2 linked regions of the Macaca mulatta genome follow. The protein of the gene in region 2 purifies or fractionates together with the protein of the main gene of each other region. This does not show direct contact. Links are inferred from orthologs where the notes say so. Each region holds a gene or a part of one and is shown on either strand. Other genes may lie near its edges.

Region 1 (4,972 bases), on a different chromosome or scaffold from region 2:
TAGACACAGGGTTTCGCCATGTTGGCCAGGCTGGTCTCGAACTCCTGACCTCAGGTGATCCACCACCTGCCTCAGCCTCCCAAAGTGCTGGGGTTACAGGCATGAGCCACTGTGCTCAGCTTCATTCTGGCACTTAATCAATCCTTGCAGAAGGTTGCTACCTAAGAATATCTTTCAACAAGATTATAGACCCAGTCTCTGGTATCCCACAGAGCTATGCAGTAATTGCCTCAGAAGAAATACTCGCTAAATAAATAAATAATTTAGATTTATATCCATTCATCTTATCTCTTCTGATACTTTTCTTGTATTCCCAGACCATAAAAAGGGCAGTAAACAGCCACTCAATAAGTGCTTCTTTTTCTTTTTCTGAGACGGTGTCTCGCACTGTCACCCAGGCTGGAGTGCAGTGGTGCGATCTCGGCTCACTGCAACCTCTGCCACCCTTTTTTTTTTAAATTATACTTTAACTTCTGGGATACATGAGCTTTTTTGTTTGTTTGTTTGTTTGTTTTTTTTGAGACAGAGTCTCACTCTGTCGCCCAGGCTGGAGTGCAGTGGCGCAATCTCGGCTCACTGCAACCTCTGCCTCCCGGGTTCAAGTGATTCTCCTGCCTCGGCCTCCCAAGTAGCTGGGATTACAGGCGCCTGCCACCACGCCCAGCTAATTTTTGTATTTTTAGTAGAGACAGGGTTTCACTACCTTGGCCAGACTGGTCTTGAACTCCTGACCTCATGATCCACCCACCTCAGCCTCCCAAAGTGCTGGGAACAGGCATGAGCCACCAAGCCCGGCCCTGTTTTTTGTGGTTTTTTTTTTTTGGGACAGAGTCTTGCTCTGGAGTGCAGTGGCGCCATCTCAACTCACTGCAACCTCCGCCTCCCGGGTTCATGCCATCCTCCTGCCTTAGCCTCCCAAGTAGCTACAACTACAGGCGCCCGCCACCATGCTCAGCTAATTTTTTTTTTTTTTTTTTTTGAGACGTAGTCTAGCTCTGTGGCCCAGGCTGGAGTGCAGTGCCCGGATCTCAGCTCACTGCAAGCTCCGCCTCCCGGGTTTTTTTACGCCATTCTCCTGCCTCAGCCTCCCCAGTAGCTGGGACTACAGGCGCCCGCCACCTCGCCCGGCTAGTTTTTTGTATTTTTAGTAGAGACGGGGTGTCACCGTGTTAGCTAGGATGGTCTCGATCTCCTGAACTCGTGATCTGCCCGTCTTGGCCTCCCAAAGTGCTGGGATTACAGGTTTGAGCCACCGCGCCCGGCCTTTTTTTTTTTTTTTGAGACGGAGTCTCGCTCTGTCGCCCAGGCTGGAGTGCAGTGCGCGGATCTCAGCTCACTGCAAGCTCCGCCTCCCGGGTTTACGCCATTCTCCTGCCTCAGCCTCCCGAGTAGCTGGGACTACAGGCGCCGGCCACCTCGCCCGGCTAGTTTTTTGTATTTTTTAGTAGAGACGGGGTTTCACCGTGTTAGCCAGGATGGTCTCGATCTCCTGACCTCGTGACCCGCCCCTCTCGGCCTCCCAAAGTGCTGGGATTACAGGCTTGAGCCACTGCGCCCGGCCTCAGCTAATTTTTTGTATTTTTAGTAGAGATGGGGTTTCACCGTGTTAGACCGTCAGGATGGTCTCGATCTCCTGACCTTGTGATCCGCCTGCCTCAGCCTCCCAAAGTGCTGGGATTACAGGCGTGAGCCACTGCACCCAGCCCTGTTTGTATTTTTAATAGAGACAGGGTTCTGCCATATTGGTTTCACCTCCTGACCTCAGGTGATCCACCTGCCTTGGCCTTCCAAAGTGCTGGGATTACAGGCGTGAGCCACTGCACCAGGCCAAGTGCTTCTTTTTCATCACCTTGATGGATACTCTTTAGTTCCACTGCAGATGAAAGCAGGGAAAAGTCAGCCAGTTTTCACCATATCACAGAGTGATCCAAAAGGTTAAACCACAGGCCCCACATAACTTAGCTCAGTTTACCCACATATCACTGTCAGCATGTCAGGACTCAGGCTGCCTCCTCTGTAAATTAACTCTGCCACTTTTGTGTGAATGGTTCTCTCTGCTGTGTTCCTAGTGTTTGCCATGTGTCTTTGGGAAAAAGACACATTCTCCCTTAGCTACCTTGAACAGATTAGCATATGCTGCACATAGGGAAGAACAGGGCATGCTAATTTAACATGTTCACTACCCACTTGTACCAGACTTTACACTTTCCCATAATCTCACTTTATTCCCACAACAGAGGGGGCAGTATTGTCTCCATTTTTAAAAAAGAGAGCTCAGGCCCTAAAACAAAAGTGACCTGATCAAGGTGACATGAGAATTAACAGCTATTACGCTGGTGGAGACGGGCTGGAAATCAGATTTCCTATTCTGAATAACATGCTCTTTTGCTTAAAATGAAAAACAGTGGACTTTACAGATCCTTTATCTCCAAAGGAAAGCTGGTTTGCTTGTTTACTGGTTACTTTTGCAAGTTGGCATTTAATCATCACTGTTTTCTTGTTCAACTGAATGGTATGGGATCACAAATTGAGCCCTGCCCACCCATTCTCAAATTCAAACCTTTGCCCATGCTTCTCTGTGGACTATTCAAGCCAGCAACCCACCTCTCTAACATTGGGCATGTCCAGCAGTTCTCCAAACACGTAGACACCAGGGGCCTCCAGCACCTGATGGATGAGTGTGGCCAGCGCTGCCCCCTTGGCCGACTTGGCTAGGAGCAGAAATTGCTCCTGGTTCTGCCCTGTCACCTTCACTTCCGCACTCATGACTGCACTGAGCTGGGGGCACCTGGGCTCAGGATGTCCAGAGCTGCAAGGAAAGAGAATGTGAAGCTAGAGATCCCCGATGGCTGGTAGGATGGGAAGCACAAGGCTGAAGGACTGGATTGTATAGGTACTAAGTCGGTTCTGCGGTGAGGAATCACACATGGAGCGGTCTAGAATTCTGATCTACAAATCCTAGTCAGCCACTTCACAAGGCTGCCACACCCACCCCCTCCCCTGAGCCTAACCCCAAGCCCCATCATGTGCACCGCCACTGAACCCTAAGACAGGATGCAACGGAGAAAGGGGTGTCGCATGGTATCCACACTAACGACGACGCTCCCTCAGTTCTCCACTCCTGCCCCGCACGCGCCCACAACCACGTGACCTCACCCCAATGAAGCTTACACGTGGCTCCGCCCCCTCCCTTAAAGACACCGCCCAGCGACCGTGGGCTCCCGCCGACTGCTTCGTCGTACCCTGGGTCAGGCTCTGCGGGCCGCTACCTGGAAGCTTCGCCCTCCAGCGCACCGGGCGGGGCCGCCGCTCCGTCACCTCCGGCAGCTGTTCCAAGCCTTTCCTGCCACCTCCCTGAAGAGTCGCTCTGGCCACTAAACTCTATGGCGGGCTTCCGGCCGTACTTCCGCTCTAAGGACGCAAATTTCGGCAGGACATGCCCCGCCCCCGCGTTCCAACCGCTGAAGCTCCAGTGAGGGACGCAAGCATTCTACTCTCCGATTGGTCGCCGGGGGAAGAATGACGGGCGCCTTTTTAAATACTGTATTTCAATAAAACTTTATTAGTGGAAGAGCGCTAGCCACTAAACACAGACGTCTTTGGCGGGTCCCCTGGTCTCGGCCGACTCTGTGTTTGTTCTAAGCCGCTGGAGAGCTGGAGATCAGGACTGCCCTGGGTGCCTGAGGCAAGAGAAAAGCTGTAATGGAATGAGTGAAGAAGCGGGAAAAAAACGGGATGGGGGAGTAAGGGGCAGAGAGGAAGTAAACAATAATCAATAATAGAAGTTTAGCAGCAGAGATCACCTAGGTCGTTCAACCACTCACTTTTTTGAAGAGCAGGAGAAAAGAAGTGAGAAGAGTAAAAGATAATAATTGCTAACATGTATTGAGTGCTTACTATTGGTCAGACATCTTTTAAAATTTTATTCCGTTGAATCCTCACAAATATTCCCAGTGTGACTTCAGGACACCCTCTACCATGATTACTATATATGTATTAATACTTGTAGAATGATGCTTTCAGTACATGGACTCTTAGTTTCTTGGGGCGGAAAAACCCCTATGTTACTCATTTTACAGAAAAGGAAATTGAGACTCATAAAAATCCAAGGATTTATCTGGAGCTTTTCAAACTCAAAACCATCTTTCTACTTCAACATACTTTAATAAAAACAAAAACAACTAACATTTATATAGTGTTTTATATTTCACAGCAGGCTTGCAGAAGGTCAAGTGAGGGTAAAGTTAATGACATCTTGGCCTTTGTGTTAAGCTACGAGCATTACTTAATTCATCTGATACAACAATCTAGTAATTGTTATCTCCACTTTCCAGATGGAAAAACTGAGACTCAGGAAAATTAAGAAACTTATAAGTAATGGAAAGACAAGAAAGTGAAAAAGAGAAAGATAAAGAGAAATAGAACTCGTAGTCTGTTAGGGCTAAAGGAACTGCAGATGCAGTTTATGGTCCACATATTTTGGTTTGTAATAGAAAATAAGCAGAAACACAGAAAGGAAAGGGAAAGGAGGAAGAGGAGAAGAAGAAATGAATGGAAAAGGTGAAACAAAAGTGAGAAGGAATCAAAGGCATAATAAAATATTAAAACTTTGAAGGAACCAAGGAATTAATGAGTCCAAACTTATTTTTTTTTTGCATCCACCCCTCCCCGCCCAAGCTTATCTTTTCTTTTTTATTTTTTTTTTGAGCCAGGATTTCGCTCTTGCCACCCAGGCTGGAGTACAATGGCACAGTCTTGGCCCACTGAACCTCTGCCTCTTGGGCTCAAATGATTCTCCTGCTTTGGCCTCCCGAGTAGCTGGAATTATATGCGTGCGCCACCATCCCCGGTTAATTTTTGTATTTTTAGTAGAGATGGGGTCCAAGCTTATTTTTAAAGAGAGAAGGGAAAAACATGTAAGATGAAAGAATGAGAAAACAACCCATATTTGTTCTATTTTGCACCAAGTGCT
Region 2 (4,476 bases):
TTTTTGATTATTGATCTTCATTGTAAAAATAAAAGCTTTTTATGATTTTAAAAATGGTGCTGAGTTATCTAAAAATTCCAAGAAACAGCTTAAGAAAACATTTTCTGACTTAAATGGTACAGAAATTTCCTGAAAGAGTATGGAAACCTCATATTGCTATTTAAAGGAACCTATCAATTAGTGTTATTTTTTATTTGTAAGTGACAACATAAGATCCAATGTGCTGCCATCTTTGAGAACTTATCTGAAAGAGATGTCATTTCTGACAGCCCCTGCGAGGAATTGGCATCCTTAAGCAAGCCATAGACAAGATGCAGATGAATACAAACCAGCTGACCTCAATACATGCTGATCTCTGCCAGGTAAGCAGCCAAAGTGTGTGATTCACACCAACTCAGAGGTGTAGGTTGTTGATGGGCTTGCTCAACATTGGGTTTGATAAACGAAGGCAAGTTGGCGGATATTGTGATGTGTTATAGAAGTCAGAATATGTAGGTACATCTGTTACATTCAGGCGGGTGCTGGATGCAAACTCTAGGATAGGGCTCAACTAGTAAGCTTGTTGAACAGATAGGATAATTAATTCTTGTAACTTTTTTTTTTAGACAGATTCTTGCTTTGTCATCCAGGCTGGAGTGCAGTGGAACGATCTCAGCTCACTGCAACCTCTGCCTCCCGGGTTCAAGCAATTCTCCTGCCTCAGCCTCTTGAGTAGCTGCGACTACAGGCACCCACCACCACACCTGGCTAATTTTTGTATTTTTAGTAGAACAGGGTTTCACCACGTTGGCCAAGCTGGCCTTGAACTCCTTCCTGACCTTGCGATCCACCTGCCTCAGCCTCCCAGAGTGCTGGGATTACAGGTGTGAGCCACCACGCCCAGCCCTAGTTGTAACTTTTTAAAAAATCCTGAATCATTCTTTTAAAATTGTGAACCTGCTGGGTGTGGTGGCTCACACCTGTGATCCCAACACTGGGAGGCTGAGGCTGGTGGATCACCTGAGGTCTGGAGTTCTAGACCAGCCTGACCAACATGGAGAAACCCCGTCTTTACTAAAAATACAAAATTAACTGGGCGTGGTGGCACATGCCTGTAATCTCAGCTACTTGGGAGGCTGAGGCAGGAGAATTGCGTGAACCCAGGAGGCAGAGGTTGTGGTGAGCCGAGATTGCACCATTGTATTCCAACCAGGGCCGTAAGAATCAAACTCTGTCTCAAGAAAAAAAAAAATTGTGGAACCTGAGACTGAACATATCTAACTTCTTACACCATAAAATGTTACTTGTTAATCTTTTTTTTTTTTTTTTTTTTTGAGATAGAGTCTTGCTCTGTTGCCCAGGCTGGAGCGCAGTGGCACGATCTAGGCTCACTGTAACCTCCGCCTCCCAGGTTCAAGCAATTCTCCTGCCTCAGCCTCCTAAGTAGCTGGGATTATGGACGTGTACCACTACACCTGGCTAATTTTTGTATTTTTGGTAGAGATGGGGTTTTACCATGTTGGCCAGGCTGGTCTTGAACTCCGGACCTCAAGTGATCCGCCTGCCTCAGCCTCCCAAAGTGGTGGGATTACAGGCGTGAACCACCATGCCTGGCCTCATTTATTTATCTTATTTTGTGAGGAGGGCAGGTATATAATGAAGTCTCCTTTCCATTCTGTTTGCTAGCCATCTATTTCTTCTCTAAAAGGAAACTATGTTAGTAATTTTTTGTGTATCCTTCCAAAGACTTTTTATGGACATAAAAGCAAATATGAATATATATTTTCTCATTTTTTACACAAATTTTAATCTATGCAGACTCTTCTGTGGCTTGCTTTTTGTATTTAACGTATCTTGGAGATGATTCCGTAGTGGTACTCTACAGGTACGGAGTAGTCTATAATATGAGTATGCCATGGTTTCACAAGTCTGCATGGGTATTTACATTGTTTCCTTCAAGAATAACATGGTGTGTGGATTATTTCAAACACATGTTCTAGTTTCATATGAAGATGTGTCTTTTTTTAATGTTTTAAAAAAATTGTGATTGAGGTACAACATACAGACAGTAAAATACTAAAGTGTATAGCTCAGTGAGTTCGTATGCATGTCTACACTGCGTCTCCATTAGCTAGATAACTGTTCTAAGGGCTTGGTTTGCTGAGTTGCACAATTCCCTACATTTACCTAAAGGATTAAAACACTGGAAAGGATTAATTAAAGGAAGCACTTCTACTTACACCATGCTGGTCTCTTTCCATTCCACTAGTTCAGTAAAGAGAAAGAGGACACACTCTTTTGCCCTCTAATCAGATGGGTAGGGATAGGTTAAGGGATAACTGAGTCTTGTCTGTAGAATTCTCTATTCTCTCTTTTTTTTTTTTTTTTTTTTTTGAGACGGAGTCTCACGCTGTTGCCCAGGCTGGAGTGCAGTGGCGCGATTTCGGCTCACTGCAAGCTCCGCCTCCTGGGTTCACGCCATTCTCCTGCCTCAGCCTCCTGAGTAGCTGGGACTACAGGCGCCCGCCACCGCGCCCGGCTAATTTTTTGTATTTTTAGTAGAGACGGGGTTTCACTGTGGTCTCGATCTCCTGACCTTGTGATCCGCCCACCTCGGCCTCCCAAAGTGCTGGGATTACAGGCTTGAGCCACCGCGCCCGGCCAGAATTCTCTATTCTCAATCGTCTATAGCATGCTTGGCCTTATAGCTGTTTAGCTTTTTATAAAGAAATGCTCCACCAGGTGAGGTGGCTGACGCCTGTAATCCTAGCACATTTGGAGGCAAAGGTGGATGGATCACTTGAGGTCAGGAGTTCGAGACCAGCCTGGTCAATGTGGTGAAACCCCGTCTCTACTAAAAATACAAAAATTAGCTGGGTGTGGTGGTGCACACATGTAATCCCAGCTACTCAGGAGGCTGAGGCAGGAGAATCACTTGAACCCGGGAGGCAGAGGTTTCAGTGAGCCGAGATGTGCCACTGCACTCCAGCCTGTGTGACAGAGTGAGACTCCGTCTCATTAAAAAAAAAAAAAAGTAATGCTATTTTATTCTGAATGGCTAAGAAAATGGAGTACAGGTTGATTAGTCCTAATCTGAAAATTTGAAACCCAAAATGCTCCAAAATCTGAAATCTTTAGAGTGCCAACTTGGCACTCAAAGTGCTCATTGGAGCAATTGCATTTCAGGTTTTCAGATTAGGGATGCTTAACTGGTATGTATTCTGCAAATACTCCAAAATTTGAAACACTTCTGGTCCTAAGCATTTCAGATAGCAGATACATGAAATGTGTTGACATTTAGATCATTTTAGTCAATAAAATGTAAAACACAATTACATTATTTGGAAATTTCTGGAATCTATGAATTTTCTTCTTCTGCTAATACCTGCCTAAGTAAAATTAAAGTGATGATTTAATATCAATTTGTTCACAGCTTTGTTTGCTAGCAAAATGCTTTAAGCCTGCCCTTCCATATCTTGATGTGGATATGATGGATATCTGTAAAGAGAATGGAGCCTATGATGCAAAGCACTTTTTATGTTACTATTATTATGGAGGAATGATCTATACTGGGCTGAAGAACTTTGAAAGAGCTCTCTACTTTTATGAACAGGTAATCATTTCTCTAAAAATTAGCTGAGGTTGTTCTGAACTCATGTGATCAAAAAAGTGATCCCATAGGTTTGTGGCTAGAGTGGACTGATCCCGGGGCCTCCGTTTCAGGTGGTGGTCCTTTCAGAGACTGCTTCTCTGTCATCAGGTAAATGGTGGTAACCTGATCCCTAAGTTGAGGAGCAGTGCCAGTGCATAGAAGAGCACTTGTGGGTGGGTTCTAATCTAGGCTTGCACTTATATCTTATCTGATTTGGGATAAGTTATGACATCTCTTGACCTTTATAGCTTCCTTTGCATATAAGGAAGAGATTGAACTGAATGATCTTGGATGTGTCTTATTCTAAAACCATGTGTGGTATTTTGTTAAGTTTTATTTACTCAGTGAAACATTCTCTTGATTCAAAATTTAAAGGGTATAGAGGAGTACACAGTAATAGTCCCTCCCACCCTTTCTGTGTCTGTGTAATGAAACATAGTGCACAATTTGGTAGACTATTCTGGAGCTTTACTCAGACTTTGAAAAAGAGATACACAATATTGATTAATAAACCCGTTGTCTTAAGGTAAATTAGCTAGATGTTCATACTTTCCTTTTTAGTTCATAGCATGTATTAATAAAGGATATTTAAAACCTTCAGGGAGCTCAGCTTAGTTGGAATTCTAATACATAATACACACACGTACACACATCCGTGGCTCTGAACCATACCATAATGAGTGGTTGATGTGCCCTGTTGAGGGGACCTGAGAAGGGCCACCATAAGGTGCCAGTAGGTGGAAATGGTGTCATTAAAGCATGTGTCTAGTCAGGTCAAATCTTCAAGGTGACTTCTCTTTAAGACTACAGATTCAGAAAATTATAAAAATGTACTTCATAGCCAC

Evidence for each region.
Region 1: the proteins of COPS3 (region 2) and COPS7A purify together in Homo sapiens (affinity purification with mass spectrometry; 14 studies listed by BioGRID and IntAct, counting the BioPlex papers as one, with this or other methods). This does not show direct contact. The link is inferred for Macaca mulatta from reciprocal best matches to the Homo sapiens genes COPS3 and COPS7A.

What each region holds. Positions count from the first base shown.
Region 1 is NC_133416.1:7,678,484-7,683,455, reverse strand, and holds the start of COPS7A (COP9 signalosome complex subunit 7a), read right to left. Parts: upstream 3,391-4,972; 5' UTR 3,270-3,390; exon of another isoform or gene 3,172-3,269; intron 2,810-3,171; 5' UTR 2,767-2,809; coding exon 2,605-2,766; intron 1-2,604.
Region 2 is NC_133421.1:18,817,725-18,822,200, reverse strand, and holds part of COPS3 (COP9 signalosome complex subunit 3), read left to right. Parts: intron 1-201; exon of another isoform or gene 202-269; coding exon 270-362; intron 363-3,412; coding exon 3,413-3,592; intron 3,593-4,476. UniProt on the Homo sapiens protein: Component of the COP9 signalosome complex (CSN), a complex involved in various cellular and developmental processes.